Linked DNA regions of Pelodiscus sinensis. The protein of the gene in region 3 purifies or fractionates together with the protein of the main gene of each other region. This does not show direct contact. Links are inferred from orthologs where the notes say so. Each region holds a gene or a part of one and is shown on either strand. Other genes may lie near its edges. The genes, in order: CAMKV, FGF2, SDC2 and AMPD2.

What was found.
Region 1: the proteins of SDC2 (region 3) and CAMKV purify together in Homo sapiens (affinity purification with mass spectrometry; 3 studies listed by BioGRID and IntAct, counting the BioPlex papers as one, with this or other methods). This does not show direct contact. The link is inferred for Pelodiscus sinensis from reciprocal best matches to the Homo sapiens genes SDC2 and CAMKV.
Region 2: the proteins of SDC2 (region 3) and FGF2 purify together in Homo sapiens (affinity purification with mass spectrometry; 4 studies listed by BioGRID and IntAct, counting the BioPlex papers as one, with this or other methods). This does not show direct contact. The link is inferred for Pelodiscus sinensis from reciprocal best matches to the Homo sapiens genes SDC2 and FGF2.
Region 4: the proteins of SDC2 (region 3) and AMPD2 purify together in Homo sapiens (co-immunoprecipitation; 3 studies listed by BioGRID and IntAct, counting the BioPlex papers as one, with this or other methods). This does not show direct contact. The link is inferred for Pelodiscus sinensis from reciprocal best matches to the Homo sapiens genes SDC2 and AMPD2.

Annotation. Positions count from the first base shown.
Region 1 is NC_134721.1:45,788,324-45,796,232, reverse strand, and holds the start of CAMKV (caM kinase-like vesicle-associated protein), read right to left. Parts: upstream 3,010-7,909; 5' UTR 2,845-3,009; coding exon 2,823-2,844; intron 1,808-2,822; coding exon 1,699-1,807; intron 1-1,698. UniProt on the Homo sapiens protein: Does not appear to have detectable kinase activity.
Region 2 is NC_134715.1:37,761,638-37,769,613, reverse strand, and holds the start of FGF2 (fibroblast growth factor 2), read right to left. Parts: upstream 3,013-7,976; 5' UTR 2,856-3,012; coding exon 2,204-2,855; intron 2,030-2,203; exon of another isoform or gene 1,892-2,029; intron 1-1,891. UniProt on the Homo sapiens protein: Acts as a ligand for FGFR1, FGFR2, FGFR3 and FGFR4. Also acts as an integrin ligand which is required for FGF2 signaling. Binds to integrin ITGAV:ITGB3.
Region 3 is NC_134712.1:38,828,760-38,836,366, forward strand, and holds the start of SDC2 (syndecan-2), read right to left. Parts: upstream 3,006-7,607; 5' UTR 2,556-3,005; coding exon 2,496-2,555; intron 2,089-2,495; exon of another isoform or gene 2,074-2,088; coding exon of another isoform or gene 2,059-2,073; intron 1-2,058. UniProt on the Homo sapiens protein: Cell surface proteoglycan which regulates dendritic arbor morphogenesis.
Region 4 is NC_134737.1:15,280,214-15,288,114, reverse strand, and holds the start of AMPD2 (AMP deaminase 2), read left to right. Parts: upstream 1-4,898; 5' UTR 4,899-5,032; coding exon 5,033-5,114; intron 5,115-7,901. UniProt on the Homo sapiens protein: AMP deaminase plays a critical role in energy metabolism. Catalyzes the deamination of AMP to IMP and plays an important role in the purine nucleotide cycle.

The DNA.
Region 1 (7,909 bases), on a different chromosome or scaffold from region 3:
GAAAGGTATAACAAGTGGGGTTCCACAGGGGTCTGTTTTGGGACCGGCTCTGTTCAATATTTTCATCAACAATTTAGATATTGGCATATAAAGTACGCTTATTAAGTTTGCAGATGATACAAAGCTGGGAGGGGTTGCGACTGATCTGGAGGATAGGTCTGAGGTAAACAGGATGAAGTTTAATAAAGACAAATGCAAAGTGCTCCACTTAGGAAGGAACAATCAGTCTCACACATACACAATGGGAAGTGACTGTCTAGGAAGGAGTCCGGCAGAAAGGGATCTAGGGGTTATAGTGGACCACAAGCTGAATATGAGTCAGCAGTATGATGCTGTTGCAAAAAAAGCAAACATGACTCTGGGATGCATTAACAGGTGCGTTGTGAGCAAGACACGAGGAGTCATTCTTCCACTCTACTCTGCACTGATTAGGCCTCAGTTGGAGAATTGTGTCCAGTTCTGGGCACCACATTTCAAGAAGGATGTGGAGAAATTGGAGAGGGTCCAGAGAAGAGCAACAAGAATGATGAAAGGTCCAGAGAACATGAGCTATGAAGGAGGCTGAAAGAATTGGGTTTGTTTAGTTTGGAAAAGAGAAGATCGAGGGGGGACATGATAGCAGTTTTCAGGTATCTAAAAGGGCGTCATAAGGAGAGAAAACTTGTTCATCTTGGCCTCTGGGGATAGAAGAAGCAATTGGCTTAAACTGAAACTGCAGCAAGGGAGGTTTAGGTTGGACATTAGGAAAAAGTTCCTAACTGTCAGGGTGGTCAAACACTGGAATAAATTGCCCAGGGAGGTTGTGGAATCCCCATCTGTGGAGATATTTAAGAGTAGGTTAGATAAATGTCTATCAGGGATGGTCTAGACAGTATTTGGTCCTGCCATGAGGGCAGGGGATTGGACTCAATGACCTCTCGAAGTCCCTTCCGGTCCTAGTATTCTAGGATTCTATGACTTCTTCCCAGCCAGGCAGGGGACTGGTCTGTGAATCACTCCAGGCTTCCACGTAGTCTGTGCGCTCGGGTGTGACTGTCGTCCTTTCACCGCAGTGTGTTGGGAACTCCCTCTGCAGTTTAAAAGTCCAGGTGCTCTTCAATTCTGGCCCCAAAGCATCTTCGCAGGGGTCTGCTTTACAGTAGAATGGGCACGATCCTGTCCGCAAATGGAAGCCTTGCTGTCTCGGGTGGGACTGGAGACACGCCGTGCAGCTGCGGGGCCGCGACAGGAAGGAGCAGATACGGCACGTTTGACACCACTTCCACAAACTCTTTGGATGCGAGTGGAGCCCCGCTGCCACGCGCCGGCTCCCAGCCTTGAGAACCAGAGGCTGCCGCTTTTCCTGTGACGCTGAGCTGTCGGAACTCACGCCCGGGTACGTGGACGGCTCGCACGGTGCCGTGCGCTCCCTGGGCCCTGCAGTCGCCACCCGCCGCAGCCACAGAAACTCCTGGGTTCAGCCCGCCAGGCTCACCGGCCCCTCACGCAGCACTTCTCTGCAGCCAGCCCCTTGCACGCCTTCCGCAGAAGCGGCAGCACTCGGTGCTGGGGGCAGAATCGTCCCAATCTCACGATCAGGGGAAAAGCTACAGCAGGGTCCGCCTGTGAACGGCCCCCCCCCCCCCCATCTTCTCAGAGGACCCCCCCACACACACAGGGCCGGGCAAGCTCAGCCGGAGGCGTCCGGGCCAGACTCACGTTTTGATGACCTGTCCCAGGTCATATCTGTCCGTCACCTCGGATGGCTGGTTGTAATCCTTCTTGTCTCCCAGGGTGACGCAGCCAAACGGCATCGCCGGGGCCGGTGCTGGAAGGCAGAGAAGCAGCGAGTGAGGAGGGCGTTTGCATGACCCTGCCACTGGGCCACACTGCTTCCTCCGGGCCTTGCTGGTCAGGCCCCCCCGGCTGCCAGTGGCCTTTCTGGCACTTCCTGCCCCGCTAAGGCAGGGCTCCTTCGCAGTCCCCTCCCCCCAGCACGGCCATTTCCCATTCCAAAGCAGAGTGCCAGCTCCCTGCTGGGGTCTTCCTGCCCCGCAGGGGGTCAAACCTCACTCCGTGCAGTCCCACCACTTCGCGGCTTCTCCCCAGGAGAGAGTCCAGCGCGGCTCAGCTGATTGGCAGAGCGCTGGTGGTGCACATCCGCACAAGCCTTGGTGCGCAAAACAAATTTATTCCACACGGGTGGAAACGATCATTGGGAGCTTTGCCGTGGAGTGGGGCTGACTGAGGCCAGGTCTGTGCCCTGTCACCTGCGCTCACCAGCCTGGTGGCCCAGCTGCCAGGAGGAAACTGCTCCCCCTCGTGCTGACACTGAGCAGGGGGCTGCCAGTCTGCTCACCAGCCCAACACCCAGTGAGGGCCGCCAGCCACACCCGCCCGCAGAGCCACTGCAACGGCCCGGAGCACGGCAGGTTCCTCTGCCCAGGGTAGGCAGGCGCTGGGTGCCCGATCCCAGCCCTGCCCAGGCAGACCCAGCGTGCCCAAGCCTGCCCCGGTGGAGCGGTCTCTGTGGGCCCCATGGCCGCACCGCGTGGGACCCGGACGCACGGCCCAGCAGGCAGCCGGCCGGGCCCTTGGCTCTGTCCCCCCCCCCCCCCTTCCCCCGGCCATTCCCTGCGGAGCCCGGCTCTGGCTAGAGGAAGCTGGTGGGAAACCCTCTGGCAGTGCCCTTTGGTTCCCACGTCTCCCCCCCCCCCTCCGCTGCTGTGTCTGGGCCCATGGGCTCCCAGCGCTCTGCCGGGCAGCGGGATGCCAGCCTGGGCACGTGGTGACCAGGGCGCTCTGCCGCGCGGCCCAGCCTGCTGCAGGCCCCGTGTGGGCACCTCTCCGCCCGGCCTGCTCCATGCCCTGGCACTGGGCCTGCTGCAGCACGGGGCAGCCGCTAGCCGGGCCACGAGGGGCTGGGCTGGGCGACTCCCGCAGCAGCGCCCAGGGCCATGCCCTGCCCGCACAGCCCAGCTGCAGGGCCACGGGGCAGCTCAGGCCGGGAACCAGAGCCCCGACCCCCTTGCTCCCTCAGCCGGCCCCACCCCCTCCTCACAGACTTGCCTTTATCCTTCTGTACAACTCCCATTGCCATAGCAACAGGCTCAGCGCCTGTACCCAGAGCAGCACGCACTGTGCCTCCCCCCGCCTCCAGCAAACAGGTGCTGAGACCCTGGCCCAGACCCTCCCCTCCCCTCCTGCTGTGGGCTAGGGAGGAGCAAAGAGGGGGCCCCCTCCCCAATGCCTCCAGCTGGCCCCGGGGCCCCACTGAACAGCTGACTGGGGCCAGTCCGGCTGGAATCACTCGACTGATGGGCCCCGTTTTATTTCCAGCTGCTCCGGGCTCAAGCAGCCCTGGAGCCAGCCCCTTGGCTGGCTCTGCAGCGGGACGCTCCCTCCCTGGCCTGCCGCGAGCCAGGCACGGCCCCCCCCCCCACATCCGCACAAGCCTGACGCTGGGGGTGCTGGGCCAGGGCTGCCAGCCGGCTGATGGCCAGGGCCCTACCAAACCCACAGCGCTTCCAGCCTGTAGCATGCAGATTTCCCGGGGCCCCCAGCCTCTCTCAAACTGGGCTCTTGACCCCAAGAGGGAGCGGCCGGGGGTTACCAGGTTGTTTTGGGGGAGGGGGAGTCACAGCATTGCCACCCTTACATCTGCACTGGCTTCACAGCTGGGCAGCCGAGCGTGGTGGTGGTGGGCCTGGCCCCCAGCCCCGAGGGCAGCACCCCACCCGTGGCAGGGCAGACGGCTAGCAGTACTGCACCCCCACACACAACTCCTTCTGGTCAGGGCCCCTACAATTACAACACCCTGAGATTTCAGATGGGAACAGCTGAAACAATGAAACCGACTGTTTAAAACCCTGTGATGTGAAATTGACCAAAAAGGACCATGAATTTGGTGGGTTCCTACTTGTTGTGCAAACCCACAGACCCTTGCCCCCACCCCTTCCCCGAGGCAACACCCTTCGTCCACCCCTCCAAGGCCCCTCCCTGTCACTCCACCCCCGCCCCTCACTCACTCACTTCCAGGCTGGGGCGGGAGATTAGGAGCTTGGGGGGGAGGCAGAGGATCAGCACTTACCTTAGGCTGGCACTTCTGGGAGCCACCCAAGTGTCTCCTAGATGGCTGGGGGTGGGGGGAGTCTCCATGCCCACAGCTCCCATTGGCTGGAGACTGCAGCCAATAGGAGCTGCAGAGTCAGAGCTCATGGTGAGGGCAGCAGAGATGGGCTGGCTACTTCCGGGAGCAGCGTGTAGCAAGGGAAGCAGGAGGCTGCCTTCGGGAGCGGCCTGAGGCCGGCTGCAGCAGCTGATGCCCCAGGTGGAAGGCGCGATCGGCACCCCCGCTGTACGGCTGCCAATGGCCGTGACGTACCCATCGGGCACCCGGTGACGTCATCATTGGGTGCCCCAGGCCAGTGGCGCCCTAGGTGACCGCCTAGTCTGCCTAAGCTCACGGGCCGCCCCTGCCTGCCTTGGCCCTGCTGTGCTGCCGGCAACAGCGGCTCCCAGGCCCTTCATCACCCTGGCTCCTGGAGAATTGCCCCTTGCCCTCCCCCATCCAGCGACCTGCGCTCCCACTTGGACAGCTGTTCGGCACCAATGACCTTGCCCTGGCTCATTCCCGCTCACCCTACCCCAGGCCGACGTGCTTCCTGGGCAGCGGCCGGCTCCATCCCAGCACCCACGCCCGAGCAAGTCAGTGGCCTGCCATTGGCACCTGGCACTGCACGGGCCCGTGCGGTGGGTGAACCCCTGCCCCATCCAGATGGCAGCTGACCGCTCCCGCAGAGAGCCGAGCTCAAAGGTACCCGTCATCCCCCGCTGGCCCATGAGCTCTGGGGTCTCAGCCTGGACGGCAGCCCCCGTGCTGCTAGCGAGAGCAGGTTCTTGCTGGGGAAGGATCCAGGGCCACTGCACAAGGGGATAACAATCTACTACTGCTGCAGACTAATGGAGCCACATGGGGGGATGGCCTGTACCTCAAGCTCCTGGGAGCAACGCCTGCGGATAAGTCATGAACACTGTGGGAGGAGCCCCCCATCTTCCTCTGAGATTAGCTGCTGTTTGTGCAGGAAATGCCATAGCAAGCAACCTGTCCCCGGCCCTCACCATGCTGCGTCAGGAGGAGCTGCAGACCGAGGGAGCCAGGGATCAAATCACTGGCAGGAGGCAGTACACGGGTTCAGCTGGCAGCAAGGGGTCCGGGGAGAGGAGAGGGTGTGGGGCCGGCCACCACGAGTGAGGGATTCGCCAGGCCCAGGGACCAGGCTGGGGGGGCGGTCCTGGGGGTCTGGCCTGGCGTGGCTGGAGCTCTGACTCTGCCGGGCAGCAGTCACTGGAACCACGCAGCGATGCCCTGTGGGGCTGGGCGCACGGGGCAGCAAAGGGGGCCAGGGAGCTCTCCTGGCTGCGTGGGAAGGACAGCCCCGGCAGGCGGCGAGTGGGACGTGAGGGAACAGCAAAGCGGGGCCGAAGGGGGCAGAGGAGGGGGGGCAGAGCGGAGCCAAGGGCGGGGCAGGGGCTTCCCTTTTCCTTCGCTCTAGTGACTAATGTACCAGCCTGGCCCACTAAGAGTCAGGTGCCCGGTTCTTGGGGGAGGGGGAGCGGGGGAGGGGGGCCCATGGGCAGGAGGGGAGAGGACACGTGGGGCCAGATGCGCCCCATAGACAAGGTCAGAAGGGGCCCGGTGCCACTGCAAGGTCTGGGACTCACGTGCAGCATGCCGTGCCCGGGGGCAGGCTGTGCCCAGCTCTGGGGGGAGGCGGTGGTATCCAGGGCCCTGTCCCACGCCAGGCAGCAGGGGCACTCGCCCTGGGCCCTGCCACAGGGGGTTGGGCCCCCGGCAGCCTGCGGGCCTGGCCCAGCGGGAGCTGCCCCCAATGGCCCAGCCCTCTCCATGCCCTCAGCCGCCTGCCCGGAAGGGGCAGCGGGTTCCCCGGCCCACGAGCAGGGAAAGGAGGTTACACGTCACCCCAGCACTGGGGCTGGTACCACGTCTGACCAGTTCATTCCCTGGCGGGGCTGTGCTGGCAGCCAACACACCCGCAAAGCAGGGCCTGGGCCAGCTGCTTCTCTGCCCCCATCGCCCTCTTCTCGGCCGGCCCAGCCCGGGCTCCCCTGCTTGCTGCCGTCAGTGCCTCGGGGCCCTCCGGGGCCTCCGCTGCAGGCTCCTGGCCAGCCTCCACCCCAGGAGGAGAGCGCAGAGCCCGGAGGAGCCGGCGGCACAGGGCAGGCGGGTGAGCTACAGCACGTGGGAGCGGCCCCAGAGGGAGCAGGCAGGGCAGCGGGAGAGACGCAGCCTGGCGCCACGTACAGGGCAGAGTTAGCAGCTGCCTCGCGCCCACCTGCTGCCCAGGCAGGCTGAGCTGGCACAAGGCGCCTGCCTCTCAGGCAGATCATGGGGCAGCGTGAGCAACGGCCCCAATTCAGCGCCGTGGGGCCCATCTGCAGGAGCCAGGCAGCCAGGCCTGGGCAGCCCAGGGAGAGCCAGCCCCACCCCGGAGAGTGCTGGGCAGGAGCCAGAGAAGCGGGGCTCCGCTCCCGGTTGCCAGGAAAGCCCCATCCGGCCAGTGCGGAGCTGGGCCGAGGGGTCGGGGGGTCAGGACCAGTAAGAGGGGGCAGGATAGCTCTGCTGGCTAAAGCTCAGTCACTAGCAGGCAGGCACCCCACTGCCCGTCACAGCCCCGGGTGGCGCTCAGGGGACCGCAGGACACGCACCCACTAGAGCTGGCGAGGGGGACACGGCCTGCCAGCCTGGATCTCGTTTGCAGAGCCCAGCGCTTGCTCCAGAACCTGCCCTGCACAGCTGACTCAGCCGCCACAAAGAGCGCCCCAAGGGCCGATCGCAGCTCCCCGAGCAGTAGCCGGGCACACCCGCCCCCTTGGCTGCCGGGCGTTAACCCTGGAACAGAACGACGCACACAGACATCGCCCACTCACTGTGCACGTGCGCAGCGGAAACAGCCGCCAGTCCCCCTCCCCCGCTCTTCCCGCCCACACCCCTCGCAGGGCTGTCACACCGCCTGCACCGCACGAGACAGCGGGGCCGGATGACATCCAGGCTGGCGAGAGCCCCTGGCTCCCTCCTGGCTGAGTCTGCCGCCGACTGTGCCCCCCGAGTCAGGCGCCAGCGCGGGAACCTCCTCCAGGCCTTCGAGTTGCCAGAGGGGATGTTGCATTGCCAGGCTGCCCCACTAGGGGGAGCATCATGCCCCTTGGGGCGGCCTTGCACAGCCAGGCTAGGGGGCATTGCCATGCACTTGGCATGGACGAGCTGCCCAGCCCAGGGCCCCCTTTAGGGACTGGGGGGGCAAAGCGAGCACGGAATCTGGTCCTCAGCCAGCAAAGGGGAGCGCTGCCCGCTAGGGCTGACTGTTCCCGCCAGGAAAGCGGCTGGCAGCCACGCCAGGAGAACGGGACCAGGGACAAGAGGGGGCACAGGACGTTCTAAGGGAAGAGACCGCCTCGGGGAAACAGGACAGCTCTCGGGCTGTAATTACAGACCCAGCAGCTCAGCGCCGGTCCCAGGCCGGGGGCTCTGGGGAGCCGGGGGCGGGGCCGGTCCCAGGCCGGGGGCTCTGGGGAGCCGGGGGCGGGGCCGGTCCCAGGCCGGGGGCTCTGGGGAGCCGGGGGCGGGGTGACTGGGGTTTTATTGCTCAATCTGAGAGTATCCAGTAAGGTGGCACATGAGTATCCTGCACGCCCCACCAGGGGCCACGTGCCCCCCACTGAGTAGCGAGTGTGATCGGGCCCTATGGATGGCCTAGGGCAACGACCCCATACCCCTAGGCTGGGCGGGAACGTAACTCTGCCATGGGCGCGTGGTGGCGGAGAGCAGGAAGGGCCAAGTGAGTCGGTCCATGTTCCTGGTACGCTAGAGACCCCAAGCAGACTGGGGAAGGGCCGCCGTGCATGCACA
Region 2 (7,976 bases), on a different chromosome or scaffold from region 3:
GGAGAGATATCTCTTCCCCTAGAACAATGTAGTAAGATGAGGGCCCGAAACAAACATTGACCTAAACAGCAATGGTAAAGACTTTGCTAATATAAAACAGAATTAAGCTGTGAGCATGAGGCAGGCCCTGCTCACAGAAGCTGGCAAGAACAGGGCTGATGTTACGGAAACACACATACCTGCTAAGCACAGGCTGTAAGCACATTCCAGAGGTCATGAAGGACACCTCATTGAGAAACATCTTGGTACCAACACACACCAAAGATAACAAGAACATACAAAACCAGATTTAGGACAGGGTCTAAACTGACAGCATGATAGATAGTGACAGAACTATGTACAAGGTAAGGGGTGGATCTAATGTCAGAAGACGGCAACCTGATATGTCAGGAGTGAAGTGTAATTTGTTTGCACCTGTGTCTAAAAGTGTACACTCAAAGAATTGTTGTCTAGTCAAGGGGGTAATATTAGATCAATAGTTTTGAGTGAGGTATTCCATTGTCACAAGCAATGTTCCCACTAAGCTTTTCCATCCATGTGTAGAATAAATTTTATGTGCACCAACACATGTGCAGATGTGCACCAGCAATAGAAATACATGCTGATGGCTCTAGGCATTGCGGGCGCTCTGCTAATCAGCTAAGAAGCATCTGTATCTCTCCTGAGTGTCCACACAAGTGCTCAGCTTACAGGCACTGGTCATGAGGTACATATGAGTAGTGGCTCTGGGGCAAGTCTATTCGTTGACAACTATTACTGTACTTTGCTTGGCAATAAACCTGGCCTGGTGCCTTCGATCCTTATCTGATTTTGTGATCTTTGGGGGCTCTCTCTAATAGACAGGAGAAACACACACACACACACACACACACACAAGTTAGAATATAAGAACAGCCATACTAGGTCGGACCAAAGGTCCATCTAGCCCGGTATCCTGTCTGCCGAGACTGGCCAATACCAGATCCCCTAGAAGGAGGGATCACAACAGGTAATCCTCCCGTGATCCCTCTCCTGTCACCCACCTCCAGAGAAACAGAAGCTAGGGACACCATTCCTACCCATCCTAACAGCCATTGATGGATCTAACCTCCATGAATCTATCTAGCTCTTTTTTGAGCCCTGTTGAAGTCGTAGTCTTCACCACATCCTCTGGCAAGGAGTTCCATAGGTTGACTGAGCTGAGTGAAGAAAAACTTCCTTTTGTTTTTGTTAAACCTGCTACCTATTAATCAGGGTTTAGCACTGACTGAGTAGAAAACCTGCTAGGAACCCATCAGTAATGCTTGACTGACAACAAATACTGTCTAGGAGTTGGTTCAAAGTATTGTACACTTGTTTTTACTGTCTTTTGATCCAAGTTTATATTAGGGATGTGAAAGTGTAACCATTTACATCAGTTAATGTGCAGGGTTACACACAGACCCTCACCCATGCTGTTGCCTCTATATGATTTTCAGTGGTTACACGATTACATAATTAGATGCATTAACATCCCTAGTTTATACATGAAATTGAAAACCTTTTACAAACAGGTGCCCCACTCTTTTGGTTGAGGAAGAGAGCTTATGTGCTTTAATAGAGCCATAACCGTTAGTAAAGCAGACAAAGTATTTACCATCTACACTGAGATCATCTCCTGTTAGGAACCGTAAACTTCACTCTCAATGAACTAGGCAAGTGGCGTTCTATCCATTTTGGAGACAGGGGAAAAGTCGGGTATAGGCAAGAACGTTTTCCTATGCTTGAATAGGATGGGGAGCATTCTAGTTAAACTCCTGGCTACAGTTTGCAGTTGAGGCACCCAGGCAGCTAACCAGCCTTAAAGCGTCACAATCCTGAATGAAGCTCCTCTGCACTGACTGCGAAGTCATGGTTATGACTGTCCCCAATCCTGATCACACACCGGGAGATTTTTCTCATGTGAAGAAGCCCAGAAAGGCTGAGTGATTAGCCCCCGATCGCACAGCAGGTGGGGGCCCAAAGCAGGAGAGCACTCAGGCCCTCGACCCCACCCACCGATGGCTCGAAGGTAACAGGCACAGGTTGGATGCCTGGGGCGCTGTCCTGCCCCCACTAAGCGGGACGCGAGCGCTTGCCATTGTTTTCAAGGGAGCCAGGAGTGCCCCCTCCGGGAGGAGTTGGGGCTCGGCGGGGCCTGCCCCGAAGCCGTGCCCAGGTGGGAGGGGAAGAGGCTGGTACTCACTGTGCGGGTCGCTCTTCTCTCGGACTCCGTCCACTCTGCCGTCCGGGTTGATGCGGAGGAAGAAGCCCCCGTTTTTGCAGTACAGTCGCTTGGGGTCCTTGAAGTGCCCCGGCGGGAAGGTGCCGCTGCCCCCGTCGTCGGGCAGCGTGGTGATGCTCCCCGCCGCCATCCGCCCCGCCGCGGGGTCCCGGGCCGGGGAGACCCCCTGGTGCCCGGCCCCCCTGCCGCGGCCGCCCAGCCTCGCCCCCTGCCGGCTTCGCCCTTCGCCGCGCCCGCCCAGCCTCGCCCCTGCCGGTGGGGGCCCGGCCCCTCCTCTCCGAGCCCGACGCCCCGGCCCTGCCGCCTCCGCGCGGGAAGCGGCTCCCGGCTGCCCGGCGGGGCTGAGGGTGCTGCGCAACGCCCGGGCGCCGCGAGCCCGTGGGCCGGCCAAGGTGCGGGAACGAGCGTCGCCCGGCTGTCGCGGCGGGCCAGAGGCAAGCGCCGCTCTCAGCCACTTGTTTGTGCGCCTCGGCTTCCCGCTGCTGCTCCGCCCCCTGCCCGGCGCTGGGGGCTCGCTGGGCCGCTCCGCTGCCTGGCCGGGGGGACTGGGAGCCTCCTGCTGCGCCTGCTGGAGAAACTGGCAGCCGAGCCGGAGGAGCGGTTCCCTCCCCATCCACCCTGCCCGGCCCTGCCTCCCCTGGCCGCACAGCCAGCCTCCTGTCTGCCTCCCCGCCCGCTCCCTCGCCTGGAGTGCGCAGGGAAAGTCCCCTTCCCGACCCTCTGCCGGCTGCAGGGCAACAGCATCCGCGCGCTTTCACAAACTGGTCGTAGACAGAGCGAGTCTGGGGCAGCTGGCGCCGCAGAAAGGAGCCAGCTGGGGCGGTGTCACTTTTTAGGCACTATACCAACCCTTTTTTCATTTGCTCTTCTGGAGGGGGGTTTGTAGACGACGGTTAAGGGGGGGTATTAAAGCTAGTGGGGGCGTGAGGAAGATCTTCATTTCACACCCTAGGACCTGCACTTCGGGGCAGGAATAAATTGAATCGTCTCTGCTCCAGTGCCAGGAAAACAGCAACTCCCACCTCCCAGTCTAAATTGCCTAGTAGGGATGTTAAATTTCAAACAATCAGCTAAACCAGTACTAAAGCAAAAGTCTATCAACTACTGGATTAGTAGATAAGGGGAGGGGAGTGCTTGTTATCCTAGTGATAGAAATGTAGCCGTGTTAGTCGGGGGTAGTTGAAGCAAAATGCAGGACAATGTAGCACTTTAAAGACTAACAAGATGGTTTATTAGATGATGAGCTTTCGTGGGCCAGACCCACTTCCTCAGATAAAGCTCATCATCTAATAAACCATCTTGTTAGTCTTTAAAGTGCTACATTGTCCTGCATTCTGTTATCCTAGCTGCCTCTTGTTCTTACTAGATTTAAAAGGCAAAAGAGCAGCCCCTTTCCTTCCACCGCCTGTTGACAGGCCTGTCAGTAACACACAAATGGATTATTTTTAAATCAAATTTTAAAGCAAGGCCCTCTAGACTCTCACATGGTAAATTAAAAAATTGACAGTATATACCTGGACTTGGAAAAATGTTTGTAAAATGGATTTGTTATCACTTGAATGGCTCTTTCACAGGTTCAATGTTCTGCTAATAGGTCAGGCAGGCTGTGTTATTTTTTAGTTAACTAGATCCTCTCCGGAAGAAGCAGAGCCACATAACAGGGATAGGAAGAGGCAGGTGGATCCACATTAAGAGCCAGGCTCCGTCTACCTACATTGTAGCCTTCTTCTGGAAAAGTTTATGCAAATGAAGCTTGTGTAGAATAGCGCCATGCTTCATTTCCATATTTAGTTAGCTGTTTTTGCGCAAGAGGCTTTTGCGCAAAAAGGAGCTGTGTAGACAGCTCCTTTTTGCGCAGAACCCCCCTCTTGCGCAAGCCGTTCTTCATTTTTTCCAGGGAAAAGGCTCCTGCGCAAGAGGGGGTTTTTGGACAGAAGGGTTTTTTGCACAGAAAGGAGCTAGGTAGACAGCTCCTTTCTGCGCAAAAGCCTATTGCGCAAAAAGGGCTGCTCGTTAATTATGCAAATGAAGCATGGCAATATTCCACTCCATGCTTCATTTGCATAAGCTTTTCTGGAAGAAGGCTACAGTGTAGACGTAGCCCACTGTTGCCCCAGATTTTCAAGTGTCCTACACAACTCTACAGTCTAGGTATGGGTAAAGATGACTCTGCTGAAAGACACAATATTTCCTCTTCACTGGTGTGTGCATATCCAAGAATAAAAAGGCCAAATATTTCTCCTTTTGGGAATCAAGAAAGAGCAAAAATGTATACAAGATTTACAAGTAATAGGAATCTTTCCTTTGTGCAAAGCTGAATGATGAAAACTGTATGGCGGAAGAAAAGGAACAGACAAGTAAATCTTAGAGGAGCATTAGTTATGACTTATTGTGTTAGTAGAAGTGGCCCAACCTTAGAGTGTTTGCTAAATCCTCTCCTCCACTATTTCTGAAGAGCACAGTAAACAGTCAGAAAACACAGAATAAAACACTCTTCCTGTTATCAGTCTGCACCAGCAGGAAATATTGCCAGAAGATGACCCACAATTTGTTCCACTTGATCCACAGATCTGGGCTGCCAGAAGGGATCCTCATAACACAATATTCCTCTCTGTCAGGACATTATAAACCAAGTTCATACCTCAAGGAAAAAACATTTGATAGCTATGCAAACATATATTCGTTACCTTTCCAGGAAAATGAGGGCTAAGGGACAATTGTTCTACCCCAATTCAACAAATAAGGCAGTCAGACAAATGGTTGACTACTTTCAACAAAAATACTATATTTATGTTTAAAAAGTGATTTTCTCCCACCCCAGCAATGCCAAACTACAAGCCTCTCCATCACTGCTACTCAATACCAAACAATGTCCAGTTTGATATTGTATTAAAATCTATTGCAAATATAGCTGCCTCTTGACAGTTATATAATTCTAGTAAGACGAATAGCCAAATCACTTACTTTAATGTGCACATAAATCAGTGTCATGCATTGCATTAGCTTTTCGTTTTAGACAAGGACCACCCCAAACCAAGCATCTAGAATTGGTGGTACAATTCCCATTGCTCCTCCATATTGGATTTATCTGTCAATGTGATAGAAGTAATTCTTTCTGTATTATCTAACTATACAACAATTGCCATGTGCTTGTATTTTAAATATTGCATGTATAAACATAACATCTACAATATTTGATTTTATAAATATCATAAGTACAACTGTTCAAGCCTGTGGGGCTGTGGCCAAGTCTTGTTGGTTTCTTGGAGAGGAGCGCAAAACATTTTCTCTATGTAATTTATACAACTGTCAACTTCTGTCCAAAGGCCAGAGTCTGGAGACAGCCAAAATGTGATTTTTCCCTAATACTGTCCAGTCAATGACCTCATGCCTGACCTGGAATAGTCACCCTACAAGGGTGTAAGAAGTTTCATCTTCTTGATTGCTTGGACCACCTAGTTCTTGTTCTCTTCCTAAGCAGAAACTATGTGCTATTACACAAGAGCTAGTATTAAGTTAATAGTTAAGATAAAATCGAAGTGAACAATTTGTTACTACAGCTGTGAACAAGAGGGTGTGTAGGAAGAAGTTGTCCACTCTGGCACTCTTAAACAGCCCTTTGATTACGGAACATGATCCTTTCAGTAAAGATCTCTGAAAAAGCTAACCTGGACATTGTTATTTTCATGACAATCCATTGCTAATTATAAAGATTTACTTATCTCACATGTATTGTGCAGCAAGGAACAAAAATCTATGAACCTTGGTTCCTTTTCCTTACACAAATTTGGAATTCCATATAAAGTTCCCATCACTAAGAGATAACAGCAGACTATCTAATTTGGTTGGTTTCTCCTTCCCTGATGAGACTTTAGAACACTTTTTCTTCCTATATCAACTCAACTAAGTCACTATTGTGACAAAAGTACATGTCACTGAAGCCAATGACGTCAGGGCATTCAATTACAGAAATAATTAATTAAACTAGGAAAAACAAAGCCTTATCAACAAGATGGCGGACAGGTACGAGGGAGTACCTTTCCTTTTTGAACCAGCCCAATTAACACATTCCAATAGCACATTTGTCTTGGCCTGGCGCATGGGGTGATAGAAAGTTCACTTTGGCCTACGTGCAAAGACAAAAAGCTGAAATGGTTTCTGTTATACAAGATGGCTTCTAGCTAAACATAAAATAGCTTCTACAGAGCTGAATTCGGGGACAATCCCCGGAATTTGCCCCTTTAGAGTATTACAGTTAGGCACAAAAAACATTAAGGTCACAAAACCCAGGCATTCAAAAGCTGTAAAATACCAGTGTTCCTGTTGCCTGGGTATAAACTTAATTTGGCCCCTTGTGTATTTGCATTATGACCACATATTTTTCTGTATTGTCTCCCTGCCTCTTTTTGTGCTCATGCTAGATGGTGCTTAAAGAGCGGCTATTCAATATTTTGTGTTCTCTCTGTTCAGTACATAACCCTTAGCCTTGTATACTGTGCACTACTCAAACCCTGCTCTAAGGACAGAAATTCAGTTGCCTTACATGTTTTACCCTGGTCTTCACAAAGACTAATGAATTTATTTTCACAAACTTCCCTGCAAGATGAAAGAGTATTTGCTCCAATTTACAGAGTGGGAATGGCGGCACAGAGAAATTATAGTCAAAAGCATCCATTGATCTTGGATGCCCAATTTGGTGGTCCTAGTACCAGAGTTTTCAGAGTACAAAGCATTCTGTAGTAACTTACATGCTCAAAGCACAGCCCCCATTGACTTTCAGCCATGAGCGCTCAGCATTTTGGTGCTGAAGACAGACGGTCGGGCAGGGTCGGCAACCTTTTCAAATCGAAGAGCCAAACTACATCAAAATTCAGAACAAGTGGTCGACAAGAGCTGTATAAGAATGCCCATTTGCAGGACTGAAATATACAACTTAATATTATTGATAATCAACATGGTGATTAATAATAGCATAAATGCAACTACTCAGACTTTAATAGGACTTCTGCTGCAGTATCTTTTCACACATTTCTTGAAGTTCACATCATGATGGGTCAAATCCAGCTTCGTGCATGCATTCAGGGTGTCGTCTGTCAATCTCATGGCCAGGGGCTGGAGATGTAGGGGTGTAGGAGTCTGGGTTGCTGTGTATGAGGGGCTCAGGGCAGGGACTGGGTTATGTGGAAAGTACACGAGGCAGGACAGTGTGTTGGGGAGGAGGGGAGAGGACAGTATGAGGAGCGGGGGCTGGATTACCTTACCTGGCTGAGCTGTTGCACTCAGGCAGCAGCGGCTGGACGAGAGGCGGGGCCAGGATTGCTGCAGCTGGATCATGGCCTCCCCTCCTATCTGTGTCACAGCAGAGGGGACAGTGCGCCACCAGCTCTTCCTGCGGCCAGATGGGGGATGGACAGGGGCCTGCCTGAGGATCAGGGCCAGGGACTGGATGCTGACCGATTGGGGCCTTCTTGGCCAGGCTGCCACGGGAGCAGCTCTACTACAGCCCCAGCCCAAGCTTCCAGCTGCAGTCAAGGTGGGAGCAGCCGGGCTGCCTCTGTGTGCCAGAGTTGGAGCAAGGTCACGGTGCAGTCCCAGAGCAAGCTGCCTGCCCTGGGAGCAGCCAGGCACCCACCACCAGCTTCCTACAGCTCCAGCCCAGGGTGGTGGGTGGGAGCGGCAGAAGCAGCACCATGGCCTGGGTAGTGCTAAGAACTGATGCCCTCAGCCCAGTCTC
Region 3 (7,607 bases):
CTAGAAGCTATTATAGCTGTAAAATTTAAATAGAAAGCATTAAAATATACTGTACGTCATTAAAGACTTGCCATAATAAACTGAGTTTAATTTTTATTTTTCATGATACAAACTAAAATCACTAGTTATGCTACGGAGAAGACTTAGTTTTATTTTAAGAAAATATCACCCTTAAAAGGCTTTCATGAAAGATTGGCTCATCCTTAACCAGAGATTCTGTATTGTATTCATATTTAAATAATATCTAAAATACTTGCAAAAATATTGCATGTGAGTGAAATTGTTTACCACAGTGGAGCAGCTCACTCTAATTGAATTACATTGTCATTGTTTCTTAATAAGAAATTGAAGCTCAATGAACTGAGAAATGTTAAAGACCCTAAAAATACTGAAGCAGCAGCAAATGTAGTTTGAGATTATCTAGGGAAAGGTGATACCAAAGCGCATACAAGCATTAGTGAAAAAGCCTCAAATGCTAGTAAAGTACTATGATCTCCATTTTATGGAGAGAGAAAGCAAGAAACAGAACTCTGCCTACCAGAAATTCCAACTCTTGCTGCTGACTTAATTAACTAGAGAACTAAAGTTAGTGGAAATATATTTGTGGGTTTTAAAAAGGTACACAACAAATTATACTATGCTTCTCAGAGAAAAAAACATCTGCAAAGTGTTATCAGGGAAAGAGTCATCCTTAAGCCTCTCCATGTTTTGAGGAGGCTCCACTTGTATGTTCCTCTCACAGAAGAGCTCTTGTTTTCCCTGCCTGTGATTTTAGATACCAGATTGCCTGGAATGTTTCTCAAGGGTAAATACTCAGTCTGAGCCAGGAAGCTCTTTTTTCAAAGTATAATATTGTCCGACACACTAAAATTCTCAGTAAGTTTTTTTTTAAATCCTTAACTGAAAAGAGGCAAGCTGAGATTAACAAAATCACTTTATGTGCCAAAGAAATGAGGGTGTAAGACCTCAACTTTGCTGAGCTATTGGTTTCTTTTCAGTAGTTATGATGCAAGTATTACACAGAAAATTGCACGGGGAATATAGAATGCAAGCGATAACCTCCAGGGAGTCATGTTGACTCCAAATTTCACAAACTCGAGAACACTAACTTCGCAGTAAGGGGCGGGGAGAAGAGAACACAAACATGCCTCACGGGAGCGTTTTCATCGTCTTCTTTTACATTAAGATGTAGCTTAATTTGGACATACGGTAGGTAGTGGAGACAGTACAAGTAAGTGCTGTAGCTGAATCCGTCAACTCCCCAGGGCATTTTCAGGATTTGAGTTATTTTGCAAGGCAGCAATTCCCTTCGCGGCAGAAGAACCGAGGAAAGCATGAGGCAGGGCAGTTTTAAGGGAGAGCAAATCAGAAAACATGTATTGTTCCTAAACCGGAGCATAGGAGTCAACTGAATACAAAACTCCTACTACTTGGGTGGGAGAAGGGGGAGGAAAAGCTGGAGACAGCAGTGCAACCACTTACAGACCAAAAGTCTTCCGCTGCCCCATAGCACCATTGTTACAGCCCAAAGGAATCCCTGGTGGTTTCTACAGCTGAAAAGCCTATTACTGACTAGAAAAGAAGCAGGAAAGAACACAAGACAGACATTTTCTACATTCTAACTATGCCACTTACACCCCCCGCCCCGCCACAAAAATACATTAACTAGAAGAAGCAAATCGCAATCCTCAGAAAATACAGCTTCAGCCAGAAATTACTATCCTGTCACTATACACGGCGAATCAGAATAACTGCAATACGATTTTCTAACTCGTTTTTAGGGCAAGACTGTGAATTCTCAACCCCATCCTATCACGTTCGCCTCCAGGCCACCAACAACTCCTCAGCAGCAGAGCGCAGAAAAACACCAAACTTTATCTTCTAGAGTGGCAGGGTCACACCAAGAGTCACGTCTTTCTCTCACACTCTCCCCAGCCACGCACGGGTCTAGGGTTTGTTTTTGTTGTTAACAAAAAAAAAAAAAAAAGTTGTCCGCTATCAACAGATGCCTCTGCCCGAATCATAATTTACAGCCCCGCGCAAAGGAGAAACACGCACCCTTGGACAGATCATCAAAGTGACTTCAGCAGGCTCCTGCTCAGCAGATGTAGCAGCAGCTAGTCCTCCCCCTTCCTTAACCCCCCAGCCCGCTTCTCTGTGGAAGAAGCGCGTTTCTCTCCCAAGAGCTTTGAGGCTGTTGTCTCTTCCCCCTTCCCGCGCCCCAAAGTCTCCCACTGGAAGGGGGGATGGTTATTGCACAATCCCCCTCACCCCAGCCTAGAGCTCTCCCCAGCCACTGACAAGGGTCAGCGGGAGGGAGGGCTCGCCGTCCATCTGCAGAGGAGCTCCTGCCCCTCTAGGGACTCTACTGCGCCTGGCTGGGACACAGCTCCGCAGCTTTCTTCCCCCAGCAACTGCCCAGCCCGGCAAGGATGAGAAGGGCTGGTGCTGTCACCCCCCGGGAAAGCCCGTCCCCCCACTCCACCCTCACTTACCGACTCCCCGGACACACAGGCCACCAAGCCACAAGTGAGCAGTATCCACGCGCTCCGCATTATTCCCGGGGTGCAGGCGAGGCAAGCTGCCGCTTCAGGCAAAACCCAGCCGCCGAGCGATCCCCGGCTGCTTTGCCGCTACCAGAGCCCGCAGCACCAGCGACAGAAATCCCGGGCTCTCCGCTCCCTCCCTCCCGCAGCCGCCTCTGGCGCCGCCGCTTCTCACTTGTTGGCTGCCTGCAGGCAGGAATCCCACTAGGCACAGGGCGGAGTTGGTTGGTTGGTTGGTGGGGAGGGTGTCTCCCTCCCTCCCTCCTGCCCCGAGGGGATTTTAATTTTCCGGACACAGTTTCGGCTGCATCAATAAACGAGGGAGCAAAAGTTTGGGCGCGCGGAGGGGCTCGAGGCAGGAGTGGGGAGAGCGGAGCTTCGCAGGTCCCGAGCTGCTCCCTTCGCCCTCGGTCAGTGCAGGGACTGTCTCCGTCCTCTCCTCTGCGTGTGAAAAGGCAGCAGAGCGACTCCTAGTTAAGCCCAGGAGAAATTCCTGCAGGATTACAGCACAGATTGGCAGCTCAGGCAGCCAGTAAGGGGTGGGCCGTTTTGCAGCGGCCCCTCTCTCCTTTCTCCTTGTACACATCCAAGCAACTTTAGTTTTTGGTGTCTCCCCTTCTATTTTTTGCCCCCTTTAATACCAATGGAAATCGTTTGCAACGCCGCGGAGAAACGGAAGGGATCATGTTCAGCTTATTTTTGCTTTGAAGTGTGAGAAATGGGCCGATATAAACAAATAAACTTGGAAAGATCCGTTTTTTATAGCTCGGCAATCGGAGGTTTTTTTAAGCTTTTAGATGTTTGTTTGGAGTGGTGATCTCTCTCACCCCATCCCTCTCAGACTTCATTACATGTTACAATATGTTAACGGAATGGCATGCGGAATTGCCTGCTCCAAGCATTCCCACATCACAAAGCTGGCTCAAAAGACTCACAAGATTGCTGGGGATTAGCATTTTGGAGTCTTTTTATTTGCTATTTGGGGTCGCCTTTAGGTTCAGCTTTTCGGGCTTTTCTATATAAATGAGGGCTAGAAATTTACAAAAATGAAATCTGAGCTTCAGGTGTAGTCATGAAATGCAGGATTTAGGAGGGACACATTGTCTATAGCCAGCCCTGCCATAAATATTGCAAGATCTGGCAGCCATCTAATACATACTTTTAAAATTCTGGGTAGGTGGAAACTAACTGGGAAAGCAAACAGTTTTACACAATCCTCTTCCCTCCCCCCATTACACTATGGCTACGTCTAGACTGGCATGATTTTCCGGAAATGCTTTTAATGGAAAAGTTTTCCGTTAAAAGCATTTTCGGAACAGAGCATCTAGATTGGCACGGACGCTTTTCCACAAAAGCACTTTTTGCGGAAAAGCGTCCGTGCCAATCTAGACGCGCTTTTCCGCAAAAAAGCCCCGATTGTCAGTGTTTTTGTGGAAATACTATGCTGCTCCCAAACTTTTGTGCAAAAGGGCCAGTGTAGACAGCTCAGATTTGTTTTCCACAAAAAAGCCCAGATCGCGAAAATGGCAATCGGGGCTTTTTTGTGGAAAACAAATCTGAGCTGTCTACACTGGCCCTTTTGCGCAAAAGTTTGGGAGCAGCATAGTATTGGGAATGGGAGCAGCATAGTATTTCCACAAAAACACTTGACAATCTTATATGAGACGTCAGTGCTTTTGCGGAAATTCAAGCGGCCAGTGTAGACAGCTGGCAAGTTTTTCCGGAAAAGCGGCTGATTTTCGGAAAAAAACTGGCCAGTCTAGACACAGCCTATGTGGCTTACTTCAGAAACTAACAGCGGACATTCTGAGGGGCCTGTATTATTCTGCAAGTCAGATTAGATGATCATAATGGTCCCTAAATTTAAACATCTCTAAAGACCCAAGATGATGTAGAAGAAAGCTCTGTGAAGTTTCCCTTGCAGAGGTTTCCACAATCCTGTGTCTCTTTTCCACACTCTAAATTAGGGGAGGGGAACCTACAGCTCATGGGCCAGATCAGGCACCCTACTTAATTTGACTTGGTTCATGGCAAGTCTCTGCACCTCCAGCCAGAAGTCCCAGGCCTTGGCACCCTCCTTCCTTCCCTTATGCCCTGCTGGGCTGGAGCAGGAGCGAAGCTATGGTATCCCAAGTTGAGTGCAAGTGAAGTAAATGAGTGAGGGTTTATAGCTTTTTTTTCGCCTCACTTGTTAGTGTGGCCCTAAGTTATTTCTGTGCATCAGAGGCACGTGACAGAAAAAAGGGTCTCCACTTCTGCTCTATGGCTTGGACACATGAGCTGTGTCTAGACTGGCAAGTTTTTCCGGAAAATCATCTGCTTTTCCAGAAAAACTTGCCAGCTGTCTACACTGGCTGCTTGAATTTCTGGAAAAGCACTGATGATCTCATGTAAAATCATCAGTGCTTTTCCGGAAAAACTATGCTGCTCCCGTTTGGGCAAAAGTCTTTTTCCGAAAGACTTTTGTGCAAAAGGGCCAGTGTAAACAGCATAGTACTGTTTTCTGCAAAAAAGCCCCAATCGTGAAAAAGGTGATCGGGGCTTTTTAGCGGAAAACCGCGTCTAGATTGGCCACGGGCGCTTTTCCACAAAAAGTGCTTTTGCGGAAAAGCATCCTGCCAATCTAGACGCACTTTTCCGAAAATGCTTTTAACGGAAAACTTTTCTGTTAAAAGCATTTTCGGAAATTCATACCAGTGTAGACGTAGCCAGAGGTTATATTTTTACTGCGATGAAAGAATCAAGTCCTGGAGCCTAGTTCAACTGAGTTGCAGCTCCCTGGTATCTTGGTTCCACTTTCCTTGAACATACCCCTTACTAGCATAAAAGTTCAGGCCATTCAAATGGAAGTGCTCCCTCACCCAAAATCCCCCTTAACCCTTCCTCACATGTAGATTCACAGAGGAGTCTATATGGCAGGAAATGAGACAACTGTGCTGTAGAGTGACTACCTTCCAAACAGAAGAAGCAGTTTTGAGCGTCCTCCTCCTGTGTATGGATATGATCCTGGGAGAACACAATAGTAATAACACTCGTCCAAATACTGATTTTCAGAACTTTTTACAGGCACTCTCTTCTGAAATCCACTTTGGCTTTTTTTTTCAACATCTTCAAGCTTTGCGCAGTACAGTCATTAATGAATCAATGGAGAGTTTGGAATAAAAACTGATTACACAATATATCACTTAATCTTCAAAACATACTGCAAACATTCAGACCCCAATCTTGTAAGGTGATATGGGTGGACAACTGGAAGAAGCCACTGAGTTCTGTGCAAATGGAGGGGTCCACTCAGACAGAGTACTTAGCTGGACTTAGCTGGACTGGGGTATAACTATGAATAAATCCACAGCCCTGTAAGGTAGATCACTAATATCCTTCCTTTACAATTGAGAAAAGCAAGGCAAAGGCTCCCATCCTGCAAACTGATCCAAATATACTTGTGCAGAATCCCATTGACTATAGGTATAAATGTCCATGTACACAGATTAGCTTTCAGAATCAAGGCCTGAATCACTTGCACAAGGCAAAAGAAGAGCTACAATTAAAACACAGGAATGCTAGGTATGTATTTTCTGATTCCTTAGTAATGGGTATACATCAGTGTTTCTTAAACTTTTAAGACCGATGAACACCATTTTGAATTCTGTTGTTCTCTGCGGCTCACACTGACTGCCTCATGGCACACCCATGTACCACAGAACACAGTTTAAGAAACACTGATGTACATTATGTTAAATGATAAAAACAGTAAACAACAATGAAAACAAAAACATAAAAAAGGCATGTGCAGGAAAAGACATAAGGAACCTGAGTACTGATTTTTTTTAATTACTATGGTGGGCTATTTCTGCCTTCATGTGCATATGCATATGTTTTAAACAAAAACACTTTCTTTGAATTTGTTACAATCTCTCTTGCTCAGAGATATACCCACTCTGTTCCAAAATCCCCTGCAGACTAAAACAAAGGCTTCTGTCCTCTAAGGGCTGTAAGGGTGCATCTACTACACTGTGAGGATGTTAAGTATCAGGTAATTGACTAGTTGCATAGTTGGTGCATTTTGCCCTAGGGCTGTTGTTACGTTCAAAGGCAAAAGCACCATCTGGAGCCTTGGGTCATCTGGGGACTCTGTGTGGCACTGCTGCTTTGAAACGCCGCTGCGGCATTTCAAAGCAGCAATGCCGCATGGAGCCTCATGTAAGCTGGGCAGTCCCCAGCTGATCCTGGGCTCCACGTGGCGCTGCTGCTTTGAAATGCCACGAGGAGCCTGACACCGGGCTTCCCGGGGCATTTCAAAGAGGCAGTGCTGCACAGACCCCGGGGACAGCTGGAATCCACAGATGGTCTCGGGCTCCGCACAGCACTTCTGCTTTGAAACACCGCATGCAGCCTGGGGACACCCCATCTGGCCTCGGGCTGCATGCAGCTTTTCAAAGCGACAGTGCTGCATGGTGCCCGGGGCCTGGCCTCAAGCTTCAAGTGGCACAGCTATTTTGAAGAACCCCTCTTCTCCCCCGTCTTGTTGCTTCTAACTGATAGAGCAGTAAGGCGGGGAGGGGAAGCAATTAGTTAACTATCCTGTTGACTCTCTGATAAGCATTTGCTTATCGGATGGTCGACTAGTCAACTAGTCCTTCACATCCCTACTACACAGCATTCTAAATTCAAAATAAGATATGCAGAATGCATATCTTATTTCAATTGTATTTCAAAATAGCTCATTGCAAAATTTGCCACATCAACACAACACCAAATTTTGAAATAACGTGCTATTTTGACACATTCCTTAACCCTAGTGGAACAAATATTTAAAAATAATGGAGATGTTTAAAAGATGCAGGGTAGCTATTTTGGGATACCTCTGGTATCCCGAAATAGCCCTGCTGTCTAAATGTACCCGAGGCTCCTCTTGAAAGGAGCTCCTCGTGGTAGATCCCTGCAGTCAGTGGGTTCCTCCTTACCCCTGAGTGTCTGTTGATACAGAATCTAGTACAAATTTGTGGCCTAAACCTTGGCATCTGTGGCCTCAAATCTTCAAAGCACATGCTTAGGTTTACA
Region 4 (7,901 bases), on a different chromosome or scaffold from region 3:
TGGTCTCTCACCCTACCCGCCCCCCCCAGCTGGTCTCTCGCCTTATCTCCCCCCCCCCTGCGCTCAGCTGGTCTCTCGCCCTATCCCCCCCCCTCAGCTGGTCTCTCGCCCTATCCCCCCCCCTCAGCTGGTCTCTCGCCCTATCCCCCCCCCCCTGCGTTCAGCTGGTCTCTCACCCTACCCGCCCCCCCCCAGCTGGTCTCTCGCCTTATCTCCCCCCCCCCTGCGCTCAGCTGGTCTCGCCCTACCCCCTCCCTCTCCCCCCCCCCCCCCCCCGCTCGCTGCTGTTCGCCCAACTGCGGCTTTGCAGTCCGGAGGCTGCCCGGGGGGGGGGGGCTCTGCGGGCTCCCTGGGGCCGGAGCCGACACGCGGCTCCTGCAGCACAAAGGCGGATTGTTCGGTTCCTCTTTGTCTTTCCGCTTCGCGGGGGGGGGGGGCTAACACCCTGGCCCGGGAGGGGGAGGGGCAGTCTCGTCCCCCTGACTCCGCCGGGGCCTGACTGGGAGCCGGCCCGGGCCCGGGGGGGGGGGGGGGGGGGGTTTGCTGCCCGCGCGGCTGGCGGGACATGCCGGGGGGGGGGCGGGGTCTCCCCGCGGGCAGGGCGCTCCCCGCGCTGCTGCAGCTGGCTGGACAGGCGGGTCGCTCGGGGGCGCGGGGCCCCGGAACGGGCGTTCCCCGGCGCAGCCAGGCCCTGGTGCCGCGGAGCTGCGGGCGCTTCCCCCGGCCCGGGGTGACGCAACTGGCTGTTGTGCAACCTCCAGCCAGACCAGCATCTAGCCGGGCCCCGCGCTCCGCCTGGGAGAGGCAGCCGGGCGCTCTGGGGGACCCTGCAGTGTCTGGGGTCAATGGCTGCCTCTGCTGACGGGGTCCTCCTGTCTGTGCCCCCGGGGAAAGGTCCCAACGCCACTGCCCCCAGTGCTCGGGGCAGGCACTCCCCTGTGTCTGCTGGCCCCACTGGCCACTGCCCCCAGTGCTCGGGGCAGGCACTCCCCTGTGTCTGCTGGCCCCACTGGCCACTGCCCCCAGTGCTCGGGGCAGGCACTCCCCTGTGTCTGCTGGCCCCACTGGCCACTGCCCCCAGTGCTCCGGGGAAGGCACTCCCCTGTGTCTGCTGGCCCCACTGGCCACTGCCCCCAGTGCTCCGGGGCAGGCACTCCCCTGTGTCTGCTGGCCCCACTGGCCACTGCCCCCAGTGCTCGGGGCAGGCACTCCCCTGTGTCTGCTGGCCCCACTGGCCACTGCCCCCAGTGCTCCGGGGAAGGCACTCCCCTGTGTCTGCTGGCCCCACTGGCCACTGCCCCCAGTGCTCGGGGCAGGCACTCCCCTGTGTCTGCTGGCCCCACTGGCCACTGCCCCCAGTGCTCGGGGCAGGCACTCCCCTGTGTCTGCTGGCCCCACTGGCCACTGCCCCCAGTGCTCGGGGCAGGCACTCCCCTGTGTCTGCTGGCCCCACTGGCCACTGCCCCCAGTGCTCCGGGGAAGGCACTCCCCTGTGTCTGCTGGCCCCACTGGCCACTGCCCCCAGTGCTCGGGGCAGGCACTCCCCTGTGTCTGCTGGCCCCACTGGCCACTGCCCCCAGTGCTCCGGGGCAGGCACTCCCCTGTGTCTGCTGGCCCCACTGGCCACTGCCCCCAGTGCTCCGGGGCAGGCACTCCCCTGTGTCTGCTGGCCCCACTGGCCACTGCCCCCAGTGCTCGGGGCAGGCACTCCCCTGTGTCTGCTGGCCCCACTGGCCACTGCCCCCAGTGCTCCGGGGCAGGCACTCCCCTGTGTCTGCTGGCCCCACTGGCCACTGCCCCCAGTGCTCGGGGCAGGCACTCCCCTGTGTCTGCTGGCCCCACTGGCCACTGCCCCCAGTGCTCCGGGGCAGGCACTCCCCTGTGTTTGCTGGCCCCACTGGCCACTGCCCCCAGTGCTCGGGGAAGGCACTCCCCTGTGTCTGCTGGCCCCACTGGCCACTGCCCCCAGTGCTCCGGGGCAGGCACTCCCCTGTGTCTGCTGGCCCCACTGGCCACTGCCCCCAGTGCTCCGGGGCAGGCACTCCCCTGTGTCTGCTGGCCCCACTGGCCACTGCCCCCAGTGCTCGGGGCAGGCACTCCCCTGTGTCTGCTGGCCCCACTGGCCACTGCCCCCAGTGCTCGGGGCAGGCACTCCCCTGTGTCTGCTGGCCCCACTGGCCACTGCCCCCAGTGCTCCGGGGCAGGCACTCCCCTGTGTCTGCTGGCCCCACTGGCCACTGCCCCCAGTGCTCCGGGGCAGGCACTCCCCTGTGTCTGCTGGCCCCACTGGCCACTGCCCCCAGTGCTCCGGGGCAGGCACTCCCCTGTGTCTGCTGGCCCCACTGGCCACTGCCCCCAGTGCTCGGGGCAGGCACTCCCCTGTGTCTGCTGGCCTCACTGGCCACTGCCCCCAGTGCTCGGGTCTGCTGGCCCCACTGGCCACTGCCCCCAGTGCTCCGGGGCAGGCACTCCCCTGTGTCTGCTGGCCCCACTGGCCACTGCCCCCAGTGCTCGGGGCAGGCACTCCCCTGTGTCTGCTGGCCCCACTGGCCACTGCCCCCAGTGCTCCGGGGAAGGCACTCCCCTGTGTCTGCTGGCCCCACTGGCCACTGCCCCCAGTGCTCCGGGGCAGGCACTCCCCTGTGTCTGCTGGCCCCACTGGCCACTGCCCCCAGTGCTCGGGGCAGGCACTCCCCTGTGTCTGCTGGCCTCACTGGCCACTGCCCCCAGTGCTCGGGTCTGCTGGCCCCACTGGCCACTGCCCCCAGTGCTCCGGGGCAGGCACTCCCCTGTGTCTGCTGGCCCCACTGGCCACTGCCCCCAGTGCTCCGGGGAAGGCACTCCCCTGTGTCTGCTGGCCCCACTGGCCACTGCCCCCAGTGCTCCGGGGAAGGCACTCCCCTGTGTCTGCTGGCCCCACTGGCCACTGCCCCCAGTGCTCCGGGGCAGGCACTCCCCTGTGTCTGCTGGCCCCACTGGCCACTGCCCCCAGTGCTCGGGGCAGGCACTCCCCTGTGTCTGCTGGCCCCACTGGCCACTGCCCCCAGTGCTCCGGGGCAGGCACTCCCCTGTGTCTGCTGGCCCCACTGGCCACTGCCCCCAGTGCTCCGGGGCAGGCACTCCCCTGTGTCTGCTGGCCCCACTGGCCACTGCCCCCAGTGCTCGGGGCAGGCACTCCCCTGTGTCTGCTGGCCTCACTGGCCACTGCCCCCAGTGCTCGGGTCTGCTGGCCCCACTGGCCACTGCCCCCAGTGCTCCGGGGCAGGCACTCCCCTGTGTCTGCTGGCCCCACTGGCCACTGCCCCCAGTGCTCCGGGGAAGGCACTCCCCTGTGTCTGCTGGCCCCACTGGCCACTGCCCCCAGTGCTCCGGGGAAGGCACTCCCCTGTGTCTGCTGGCCCCACTGGCCACTGCCCCCAGTGCTCGGGGCAGGCACTCCCCTGTGTCTGCGCTTACCCCCAGGGAGGGCTGCTCGCCAGAGCTGGAGCTAACGATTCAAACACAAGGACTGGGACACAGGAGGCAAAGGGAGGTGCAGCCTAGAGCCCCCTGGCCCCCAGGAACAGGCCCTTTCTCACCCGCCTGGGCAGCGCTTGTTCAGCTCTGAACCCGAGGCCTGCCTTTCCTGAGACCCTCTGGGGCTCTTCTCTGCAGCACAGTTACCCCCCGCCCAGGGACATTTCTAGGGGACTGTTCGTCTCTGTAAAGTGTCAGGCTCCGCCACATCCAGACAGTAAACACAGGCTGGCTCCCGATGCCCTTTGTTCTCCCTCTTGACTAAGTCCATTTCACCAGGCCTGAGACCCAGGCCTGGCAGGTGCCATGGCTCCTAAAGTTCTCCCCTACACACATCCACCCCACAGTAGTCCAGAAACCAGCTACTGCTGAGACCATGGGGTGAAATAGCTAGAGGACGGTCAGCCCCGGAGATGATACGCCCTGCCCGGCTGCGTGCCGCACACACCCACAGACAGTCTTTGCCCCAAAGAGCCAACAATTTAAGTAAATATGACAAGCAAAGGGGGAGGGGAAACCGAGGCACAGACTGGTGAAGTCAGCAATAGAACCCACCTCTCCTGAGTCCTAGCCCCATGTGCTCTCCACCAGCCAGTGTTGCTTATTCTAGTGTCTTACTAGCGGGGAGGGCCTGTCCCTGCTGCCTGTTCCTGTTCCACCAGGGAGCCCCTTTTCTGGCTCTTGTGCTAGCAGAAGCCTGGGATGGGGCTGGCAGCCTCTGAAAATAGCAGTGGAGGGAAAGGAGGCTGAAAAGCCTGTACTGTACATCTTTGCCTGTCCTGCCGATCAGGATGGGAGTGTGGCTCAGTGGTTAGTGCAGGCAGGAGGTGCAATTCCGGCTGTGATGCTGATGTACTGCTTGGTGTGACATCTCTGTGTGCCCCAGTGATAGGGGCCTATGGGGCGGGTTGGAAAGCACCATGGCCGCCCAGGAAAGATGCTGTGCAGGGTGGTGCTGGGTCTTGTGGGCAGAGCCCCGGGAGGGGGGCCTGGATTGCTCCTCTGCAGAGGTGAGCAGGTGGGTCTGCCTGTGGCCTGGCACGGATCCATCCCTGAGGCATGGGGGGGGGGATCTGCCTGCCACATCTGGCCAGGCGCCCTCATCTGCCACAGCTCTCCAGGGAGGGGAGTTCTTTCTCTGGCCCCTAGCAGAGCCCCCAGACTGGCTCCATGGCCCGCTGGGCTCGCTGCTCTGGGAACAGCTGGGACCAGGCCCGGCTGGGGGGAGGGGGGAGGACGGACCAAGTTTTGCGCAGGGGGTGCTGCTGCTGGAACCCGCAAACCACGCCCCTGGGGTCTGTTCCAGCCGGCGCCCTGGGCCCCTGCCCTGCCCCTCGGCTGGGCTCGCCCGAGCTCGGGCCCCGGGCCTGGCGCCGCGCCAGGCGGAGCCGGGGACTTCGATCCGGCGCCGCGCTCGCTGCATCAATCAGCGGCCGGGGGAGGGGCCGAGCAAGCTCTGGGCCGCTGCTGCAGGAAGAGCTCCCGGCTCCGCAGCTGCGACTCCCCGGCGGGCGCAATGTCGGCGGGCGCCGCGCCCCCCCGGGGCAAGCACCCCTTCCAGAAGCGGGGCAGCCTGCAGGCCCCCGCCGCCGCCGCAGGTGAGCGCCGGCCGGGCCCCCGCGCCCGTGCGTGGGCTGCCTTTGTTCCGCGCGGGGCCGGGGCTCTCCGCTCGCCCGCGGACCGGGGGGGTCACCGGCTCCCCTCCTGGCCCCCGGGGCGGCGCAGCTGCGGGGGATCCGGGGCATCTGGCGTGGGCGCCGCGTTGCGGGGACGGGGTGCGTGTAGCGCTAGTAAAGGCAAGGGATGGATAGGGCTGGGGGGAGGGAAAGGAAAGCCCCCCCCGTGCTTCCTTTGCGCGTGAGTGTGGGGGCGTGAACTCTGCAGGCGCGTGTGTGCTGCGGATGTGGGGGGGGGGGGCAGTGACCTTAGTGGTTAGAGCAGGGGCTGCCCGGGTGTCATGGTTAGAACTGGGGGCCGGGCCTGGGTCCCTGCGTGGCTGGGGGCAAATGCTGGGGGTCGGGTTAGAGCTGCGGAATGGGGGGCTGGGTCCCCTGCATGTCTAGGTGCAGTGCAGGGTGTCGGGTTAGAGCGGGGGGGGCCGGGTTCCCACACAGGGTGTCGGGTTAGAGCGGGGGGGGCCGGGTTCCCACACAGGGTGTCGGGTTAGAGCAGGGGGTCGGGGGGGCCGGGTTCCCACGCAGGGTGTCGGGTTAGAGCGGGGGGTCAGGGGGGGCCGGGTTCCCGCACAGGGTGTCGGGTTAGAGCAGGGGGTCAGGGGGGGCCGGGTTCCCGCACAGGGTGTCGGGTTAGAGCGGGGGGCCGGGGGGGGGGCGGGTTCCCGCACAGGGTGTCGGGTTAGAGCGGGGGGGGGGCTGGGTTCTGTGTGTATCTGGCTTTGAGCTGCCCCCGCCGAGCGAGTGGCCACTTCCCCATTTGTGAGTTGGGAGTGATGCTCCTCACCTGCCTTTGGGAAATGCTTTGAGGTCCTGGGTGGAAGCTGCTGCCTCCTGCCCCTGTGAGCCCTAGTGGGTCGGGTGTGGGTGCAGGTGCGCGACTGTGGCGTGGATCTGTGGGCATGGGAGACATGGATCAAACCATGTTTTGGGGCCCTCTCCTAGGGCTGGAACATAGCACCCACCACCTTGGGGGGCATCCAGCTTTCTCCCACCACGTGTTCTAGAGCCCCCAGCCTGCAGAGACAGCCTGCTGCAGCTGTGGGCGCACCAGAGTCCTGCTTGTGGGGACCTAGGCAGCAGCCTTTAATGTGGGGCAGCTGGGGCACTAGTTGGGTGTCAGCTCTGCAGGCCAGGCGGTCCCAGGGCATGTTCTCTGGCTACAGGATCCCGTGTTCAAGTCAGTGGGACTGTGTTTTGTGGTGTGAGAATCATGCCCCTAAGCACAGGCCCTGGGGGCTGTGAATGTTGGAGGCAGGGGGGTGCTGTGCATGATGCACCCACACCTGATGAGCTGGGCTCACCTGCATGTGCCCCACAGTGAATGTCGTGCTAGGGCAGATGGAATCTCCCTTAATACTGGCCCAGGCCATAGTTCACTTTCCTGCATCAGTCTCGGGCACTGTGGGGTGTCAGAGGCAAGTGGGGAGGGAAAAGCTCATAATGCACCTAGCTAATCTGCGTGTGGGTGTTGTGTGGTGCGCTCATGGGGCTGTGTTGCAGGGACACATTATTCTTACTCCTTTATTTATCATCTGTTGCCATAGAGCCTAGAAGCCTGGCTGATGCTGATCAGCGTGCTGTGTGCTTGTGGAGTGTGCGGTGGTGTGGGACGCTCACCTCGTGTGTGCTGAGTTCCCAGGGGGCGGGAGGCCGTTGTGTGGTCTGGACACCTGGGCATAGGGGTGTGTGTAATTCTGCATGTGGATCAATACCTTGTTTTTCCTGCTGCAATTATAATTCCTGAAATGGGTAGCAGGAGGTGGAGCGGCTGCTAGGCGGGGGTGCAGGATTCCAGCAGAGGAAGTCACGGGGTTGCACCATCCCTCGAGGGCGTGAGGTGAGGAAGGGGGTGAAATCAGCATCTCTGTGATGCAGCTGGTTCCGGGCCTCAGCGCTGGTATCGACAGGGCGCTGCTGTGAGGGCGCCCCAGGGCAGACAGCTGAGGGGTGAGGTCCTGTGGGCGCTCCCAGGCCCCTGGGCTGCAGGAGGCATCCTCCAGACAGACAGCGGGGGATGGGCAGCGGAGGGTGTCTACATTGCACTGAGACACCTGGCCCGTGCCCGCTGGCTCAGGCGCGTGGGGCTGGAGACGGCCTCCAGGACCAGGTCTGCACCAGAGTTAAACAGCCCTCTCGCCAGAGCCCGAGTCAGCTGGCACTGGCCGGGAGGGGGTGCATCGTCAGAGGGGATTCCAGCCTGGCTGCGCCCCCCAGATCCCTCCCCTGCCACACTGCAGAGGCTGGCAAGCATGGCTCCCTGCCAGATTCCCTCCAGCTCCCCTCCCTTCACTGCTCCCGGCATGAGATCTGGGGAGGGGGGAGCAGCAGCAGGAAGGGCGGGGTGGTGGTGGTGGATGGGAGCTGCTCTGTTGCCTACGCCTCGCCCTAGGGCTCTGGCTGCCCTTGAAGGTGAACGGTGCCTTAGCAAACGCCTTTTACCGAGGGTTAACGCCGCTGGTTACTGACACGGCCCGGATTAGGATGGAATTCGTTGCCGCATTCCCGCACACGAACCCCGCTGGATGGTGACTATTCCAGGAACCGTTAATCAGCTGCTGCCAGCGCTCTACAAAGCACGGGCTCCCACGCGCACGTTAATGTCGCAGCTTCAAGGGGCCCACGGGAAGCCCCCACACGCAGGAGGCCTGGGGTGCCTGGGCCTTGGGAAAGCGTAGCACCTGTCCGGGTCTCTGCCACACTATGCATGTA